Rattus norvegicus: one gene and its partner. The protein of the gene in region 2 interacts with the protein of the main gene of each other region in a biochemical or structural test. Links are inferred from orthologs where the notes say so. Each region holds a gene or a part of one and is shown on either strand. Other genes may lie near its edges.

Region 1 (3,651 bases), on a different chromosome or scaffold from region 2:
TGTTTGTTTTGCTCTTTTGGCTCCTCTTCCTCGTGCCTTTCCCTCCCCACCCCAATCCCCAGCATGGATTTAGGTTGTCCCAAATGCTGGTCAACGTTTCACCCATATTTGTGTCTCTAGTCCTCTTTCATTTTTACACTGAGAGATGGTCTCACCAAATTGCCCAGACTTCCCTTGAACTTGTTCTATAGCCGAGGCTAGCCTTGGACTTTCAATCCCCCTGCCTCAGCATCCTGAGTAAGTGGGATTGTAGGCCTGCACCATCACACCCAGTCATTCCCGTCCCCTACTTATTCTTTCCAATTAATGACATTTATTTATTTGGCTCATGGGGAGAAAAGAATCTCATAGCTGAAGGTTAGTCTTGAATCCCCGGTCCCCCTGCCGGAACCTCACCAGGGCTGGGATTAGTCTGTGCTACCAAACTTATAATTATGAGAGCAGGCACCCCAAAAGGAGGCCAGCTTCTCTAATTCCGGGCTCCTTTTTGCTACATGCAACCTGTCATCACAAAGGAGGGTAGAGAGGGCAGGATTCTGACCCTGCACAGTGACGTATTCACTCCGGATGAATTCTGAGGTCTGCATTTTGATTCCGGACAGGACGCCAGCTTGGCAGCGAAACACTAACAGGTGGTCTTGCTCCTCGATGGGGAATTCTATGAGCACAAAGTTCATGTTGGAGGTCTTCTCTCTACTTAGCTTGACGTTCTTTGTCCCCAGTTCCACTTTTTCAATTTTAAAATATATTGGTGGCTTTTCTTCTTGCATGGAGCAATTGACTGTCACAATCCCACCTTCTGTCACCTCCTTTTTGTCCACGGTCACCTCAGGCATGGGTACACCTTTGGAAAATGAGAAAGTGCAGTTAGGATAAGTTCCTCTTTTTTTTTTTTTAAGATTTATTTATTTTAGTTATATAAGTACACTGTTGCTATCTTGAAGAGGGCATCAGATCCCATTACAGATGGTTGGGAGCCACCATGTGGTTGCTGGGATTTGAACTCAGGACCTCTGGAAGAGCAGTCAGTGCTCTTAACCACTGAGCCATCTCTCCAGCCCAGGATCAGTTCCTCTTAATGGCCCATCTCCCTCATCTGTCACTGTGGCTGAACGATATTAGGACCCTTTAAAGTCAGCCCTACCTACCTCAGGTGATCACTGGGCATCCGTGTGCCTGGCACTGTACGGTATGGTTTAAAAATATAACACAATGGTGTTCTCAAGGATTTGCAATCCCCTTCGGAAAATCCCAGGTGTGGTGATGCACACCTTTCATCCTTGTTCTTAGAAACAGGCAGATCTGAGTTCAAGGCCAGCCTGTTCTACCTGGTGAGCTCCAGGACAACCAGGGCTACGGAGTGAGACTCTGTCTCAAAAGTAAAAAAAAAGCGTCATGAATCTTTCACTGCCCCCCCCCCGTGTGTGTGTGTGTGTGTGTGTGTGTGTGTGTGTGTGTGTGTGTGTGTGCGCGCACGCACCTCCATGTGGAGGTCACAGGCCAATATTGGGCATCTTCCTCAGATAGATCTCTCACTGAACTGAACTTGTATTTCACTAATTCAATCAAGCTGAATGGCCAAAACCCCAAGCATCCTCCTGTCTGTCTGCATCCCCAGTTGTAGGATTGCAGGCATCCCAGGACATGGGTACTGGGGATCTGCACACTCATGTCTTCTGTTAGAATGGAAAGCCTTTTACAGATTGAGCTATCCCTGGCCTCTGTTGTAATTTATTTAATGCCCACTACAAGCCTCAGTCTTCACCCAAAATATAAAAAATAGGCCAGTTGTTGTTCTTTGTTTTGAGACAGGGTTTCTCTGTGTAGCCCTGGCTGCCCTGGGGCCTTGCTTTGTAGACCAGGCTGGCCTCAGACTCACAAAGACCCACCTGCTTCTGCCTCCTGAGTGCTGGGTTTAAAGGCGCGTGTTTTTCAACAACCTCTGCCCATCTGGAAATAGGCCGAATTTAATCTCTGAGATTTTATAGCCCAAAAGAGCAGATGGGTGTTTGGGGAAACATGTTTCATAACAACTAAGACACAGCCTGGGAAATGCTCTGTGGGGTGACGTCATCCCGGGAAGAGAGTAAGTTTACCCAGACTAAGATAGCATAACGTCTCTAGGTTACCTAGTGGCTTGCCCCATGGCCTACTATGGTCTGTATTGTTCACCACTGACTGAAGTCTTTACCTCATGCAGTTGTACACCAATGGGCCAGAAGCTGTTTAAGCACTCCAAATCCCCGACTGACTACTTCACTCCACTCATGAGGATTCCAGAACTTAATGTTCTTGCTACATTTTACTTAATATTTGTTTGGTGTTGTGTGTGGTCCCAAGAGTACTATGGTGTAGGTGTGTAGGTCACAGGACACTCACTATACGAGTCAGTCCTCTCCTTCTACCACGGGGTCCAGGGGATTGAACGCCACTTCTCGGGTTTGACCGCAATAACTTTAACCTCCCAGGTACCTCTGTGGGTCCTGAAGTTTAGAGCGGCTACCGGACTTGTCCAGATGGTGACTCAGGCAGAGAGACTGCAGTCTAGTGGGGTTTCTTCTGTTTTTCCAGACTGGGTTTTTCTGTGTAGCCTGGTTATCCTAGAACTCACTCGGTAGACCAGGTTATCTTGAACTCACAGAGTTCTACCTGCCTCTGCCTTTGGAGTGCTGGGATTAAAGGTGTGCGCCACCGAGGCCTGCCTCATGTGGCACAGCCTGCGGTCTGTCATTGTCACAGAGGGGCATAAACACTGTAAGGGTTGGTGCCTTGGAAGAAATCAACTCTGTTGAGAAAGTGCTAGAAGAAACCCAGTAGCGAGTCATGGAGCCGCTCGCCCTTAACACTAGCGCATGCGCAGGAGACTGAAGCCAGCCCGGGCGGTGGGGAGACTGTTTCAGAGACAGTGTTGGGAGAATAAAGTGTAGTCTGTTAAGGAGGATGGGGAAAGGTGTTCCCAAGGCCCGGACACCATCCCTAAGGAGGATGTTCTGCCCTCACACAGAGGGAGTTTCTAAAGCCTGCAGTTCCAGGTCCTGATGGCAGGTAGTGAGCAGGAAAGGTGGAGAGTAAGGGAGAGGGAAACCAGTGTGACTGGCGTCACCGTGACAGCATGACCGGCTCGCACCGTCCAAGCCTCCGGACTCACCGTTCACCGTCAGCTGGTACTCAATTGTGGTTTTTTCCTTGCTGTTCAGTATCACGGTGCATTTGTACTTCCCGGCGTGGAAGACCCGAGACTGAGGAATGACGAAGCTCTCTGTGTGCTCACTGGAGGAGACGTTGTACACCAGCGCATCGTCCTTATAGAATAGCACCTGGTGCTGAGGCCTAGATTTCGAGGTGGTGCTGATATCGACAAGGCACTGCAGGGTCAGTTTCTGCCCATTCGATACCTCCCAGGAGGGCCGACTTTCCATATGGATGCTGTTAATGGTGAAAGCTGAGGCAAAGCAGAAGGATGGCAGACACCGTTACCTCAGAAACAGCATGGTCTAGAGGGATACAAACCCACGCACACAACACACACACCACACCACACACACATCCACACACCCTACACATATACATACTACACACACGTCCACACACAGCACACACATACACCACACACGTCCACACACATATATAGACACATACCACATACACATA
Region 2 (3,751 bases):
ACAAGTCCAAGGGCTCTGACACATTCCTCGGACCTCTGTGCGTGCACACACAATATTAAACAAAAAAACATAAAAAAAAAAAAAAGAAAGAAAGAACCAAGACCATTCGGGACTGACGTGAAGATACAGAAAAATCCATGGAAGAGAACCGAGTCAAGAAACAAACTCACATGAAGGACAAGTATCCTTCAACAATGGAGCAGACTCTACCTGTGGAGAGGTTCCCCAGCAGCTGTGCTGGGACAACTGGAGAGCCCCATGGAATAGAGAGCAGGAACCCACACTTCACACAGTAATCAATTACTGACCCCAGGAATGAGGCATACACATGCATTCACATGCTTGCAAGCTACCTATACATGCAAAATCAAAACAGATCTTTATAAAACTAGGAAATCAGAACTCAAAGATACAGACAAGCTGTATGCAGCCCTCACAGAGTAAGACTGGAAAGTAAACAGTGACAGCCCTTCTGTGGGCAGGCTGCAAGTGCCTGTACACAGTAAATTCAGCCATTCAACTTGTAGATGGCCACCGAAGAGGTGAGACCATACTGAGGCCTTTGCAGGAGCATTCTCAGAATCACATGTGAGTGACAAATTCTAGAGACAGCCAAAGGTCTGTCAGAAAGGGTAAAAAAGGAAACAGCCCTACAATGGGAACGCTATACAATTGGCAGCAGCCGAGTAATAGAACTCTAGCAATATGGATGGATCTGTGAACGTGGACGCTGTACGCTACGCCGGGGTGTGGCGGCACGTGTCGCCAAGCCTGACAACCTGAGTTCAATCCCTGGAACCTGTGTGGTAGTGAGAGCCAATCTCCATGTATCAATTTCCGACCTACAAATGCATACCATGCCTTGGGTCCACACACAATGAATAAATACATGTTAAAAAAAACTTTCAATAATAAAAATCAGGACACCCCCCCCAAAAAAAAACAGTCCATAGTTGTCTAATGTCATTAATACAAAATTCTAGAAAAGTAACAACCAAACAGTGGTCGAAGGAGAGCAGAGGACTGGTAAGAGAGAGCTGAGAAAACCTTACCAGGAGTGGTGACATCTCCCAGATGTCAAGGTTTATCATGTTGTCTGCCGGATCAGAAGCAACTTATCTCAATAAAGCTGATTTTAAAACTAAATAAAACAAGCTTTTATAGTGATCCAGACTGTATAACCCCAGCACTTACAAGGTTGAGAGGTAACGGGAATGTAAGTTGGAGGCTAACCTGGGCAACACAATGAGAGATTCTCTTTCCACCTCTTACCAAGGTAAAAGGCCACAATGTACTTAATTCTGGAAAACTCAATTTGGTCCATGTTTAGAAAGGGAGACCACCACCCACCTCGTACCACTGCGGTACGTGTTAAGCTGGCTTCTAGTAAGAGCGAAGTCAATGTCAATAATTGAGTCTCTGAAGTTGAAACTCACTAATCCTCCTCCTGATCTCAGCTTCCAATCCTATCCTGTGACGAGCACTTTACTTCCGAGCCTCAGTTTCCACATTCGTAAGACGGGAACGCACTCGTTACCCGAAGGAACAATTCCACGACCAGATACAGTTCCCTTCCCTCCCACCTTTCAAAGCAAAGATCACAGTGGGGTTGGGAACACTCCCAGAGGCTGCAGACAGATTCAGTTTTCCCACTTCTGGCACTTGGGGCGAGGGTGAGGAGGCGAAAAGGGGGCACCTGAAAGGGTCCCGTGTGAAGGCCCCGCGGTGGCCCGGGCGCCTCCCCGAGCGCGCGGGGTTATTTCGGAATCCCCAGGAGGCGACGCTCATGAGGCAATGGGTCAGGAATGCGACGGCCGGCCGGGCCGCGGGTGTCCCCACGGGCATCCCGAGTCGCGGGAGCAGGAACTCGGGGCGGCAGGAAATGAATGGGGACCCGCGGGCGGGGCGGTGGGGCGGCGGGGACGCCGCGCCAGTGGGGAGTCCGAGTGTAACCCCCAGCGGCCGCGCAACACAGAAGCGGCGGGGACCCAGGCCGCGGCCCGGCTCCTGCGGGCGGCTCACCTCCGGGATGTCATGTTCCTCCCGCCTCCGGCTCCGCACGGACCCGCTGCTCACTCAGGCTCCACGAGGCGCCGTCACATGGAGGGGGCCGAGTGAGGCCCCGCTCGGGAGCCGACACGGGAGCGGGCAGAGCCGGCCGGCCGCGCGCACAACCCCTGGCAGGCCTGGATCCCGGACACTGCGCGGCCGCCCCGCCGCCCGGCTCGCTCCGCCCTCGTCCCCGCCCCTTGCCGCCGGCGCCGACGTGAAGTCATCACGCCCGCCGCCACAGCCACTTTCTGCTTCCGGTTTGCAGGGCCCTGACCAGTGCTGGAGGTTGGGGAGGGGGGCCTCCTCCTCCTAATCTGTGCGGTTTACAGACTTGAACGCCAGGGAGATTCTTCATCTGGGACGCCGCACATTAGTGCGAGTACACACTACGCATCCAGTGCGGGTGCACACGTGAAAAGCAAACAAATAAGCGGAGGATGGGGGAACCCGAGTTCGGTTCCCAGCACCTGTATGGGGCAGCCCACAACCTCCTGTAACTTCAGTTCTACCGGATCCGCCATCCTCCGCGGGCACGTGCACATACCCACACATTTATAGATAATGTTTGATGATTTATTCCTTTTGCCTCACAAGGTGGTGTACCCTTTAATCCCAGCACTAGGGAGGCAGAGGCAGGTGGATCACTGTGAGATCGAGGCCAGCCTAGTCTGTATTGGGAGTTCCAGGACAGCTAAGTAGGGAGACCCTGTCAAAAAGAGAAAGAAAAAAAAAAGATTTATTGCTTTTTATATTTTTTTAATGTTAGTGTATTAGTAGTCGCCTTGCGTGTAAGTATGTGTGTAACTGTGTGTGTGTGTCTGATGCCCAAGGAGGTCTGAAGAGGACAACAGTCCCTGATAGAGTTACATGGCAGTGAGCCACCATGTGGGTGCTAGGAGCAAAACCCACGACCTCTGATAAAACAGCGTTCTTTACTGCAGAGCCATCTAACCAGCCTCCCGTTGATTTTTTTTGGGGGGTGGGGAGGGGGAGTTGTTTGTTTTTGAGAACAGAAACCTATATGCCATGGCCATACTTCGACAGCTTGAAGTAAGATGAGCACGGTTTTCTTCTCTTTTTGCCGTTTCACCCATATTGGGATTAGCAATCCTGACAAGTGATTCTTTTTCTTTTTTTTTTTTTTTTGGTTCTTTTTTTTTTTTTTTTTTTTTTTTGGTTCTTTTTTTCGGAGCTGGGGACCGAACCCAGGGCCTTGTGCTTCCTAGGCAAGCGCTCTACCACTGAGCTAAATCCCCAACCCCCGATTCTTTTTCTAAATTAAGAAATTTGACCTTTTCCACTTCAAAGAAACACTCCATAACTTCTCTTTTGAATGTCCAAATTTGTTAGTACCAGTGCACTACTCTGGGGGTTGGGGTGGGGTCTCTGTTAGATAAATGCAGGTTTTCATGAACAGCTGCATCTTAATGAAGTGTAAAATTATAAAACTGATATACTGGGAGCTACATAGATGGAACAGCAGGTAAGATAAACTAGGGGGCTGGAGAGATGGCTCGGCGGTTAAGAGCACTGACTGCTCTTCCAGAGGTCTTGAGTTCAAATCCCAGCAACCACATGGTGGCTCAACCATCTGTAATGGGATCTGACGCCCTCTTCTGGTGTGTCTGAAGACAGCTACTTATATATAATAAATAAATCTTTAAGATAAGATAATCTAGCTGCTTCTGCAGAGGACCAG

The links. The genes of interacting proteins can lie anywhere in the genome.
Region 1: the proteins of Ptpn11 (region 2) and Pecam1 form a complex in vitro, tested with the Homo sapiens proteins (4 studies listed by BioGRID, with this or other methods). The link is inferred for Rattus norvegicus from reciprocal best matches to the Homo sapiens genes PTPN11 and PECAM1.

The regions. Positions count from the first base shown.
Region 1 is NC_086028.1:92,131,255-92,134,905, forward strand, and holds part of Pecam1 (platelet endothelial cell adhesion molecule precursor), read right to left. Parts: intron 3,443-3,651; coding exon 3,149-3,442; intron 845-3,148; coding exon 542-844; intron 1-541. UniProt on the Homo sapiens protein: Cell adhesion molecule which is required for leukocyte transendothelial migration (TEM) under most inflammatory conditions.
Region 2 is NC_086030.1:41,024,540-41,028,290, reverse strand, and holds the start of Ptpn11 (tyrosine-protein phosphatase non-receptor type 11), read right to left. Parts: upstream 2,213-3,751; 5' UTR 2,037-2,212; coding exon 2,023-2,036; intron 1-2,022. UniProt on the Homo sapiens protein: Acts downstream of various receptor and cytoplasmic protein tyrosine kinases to participate in the signal transduction from the cell surface to the nucleus. Positively regulates MAPK signal transduction pathway. Dephosphorylates GAB1, ARHGAP35 and EGFR.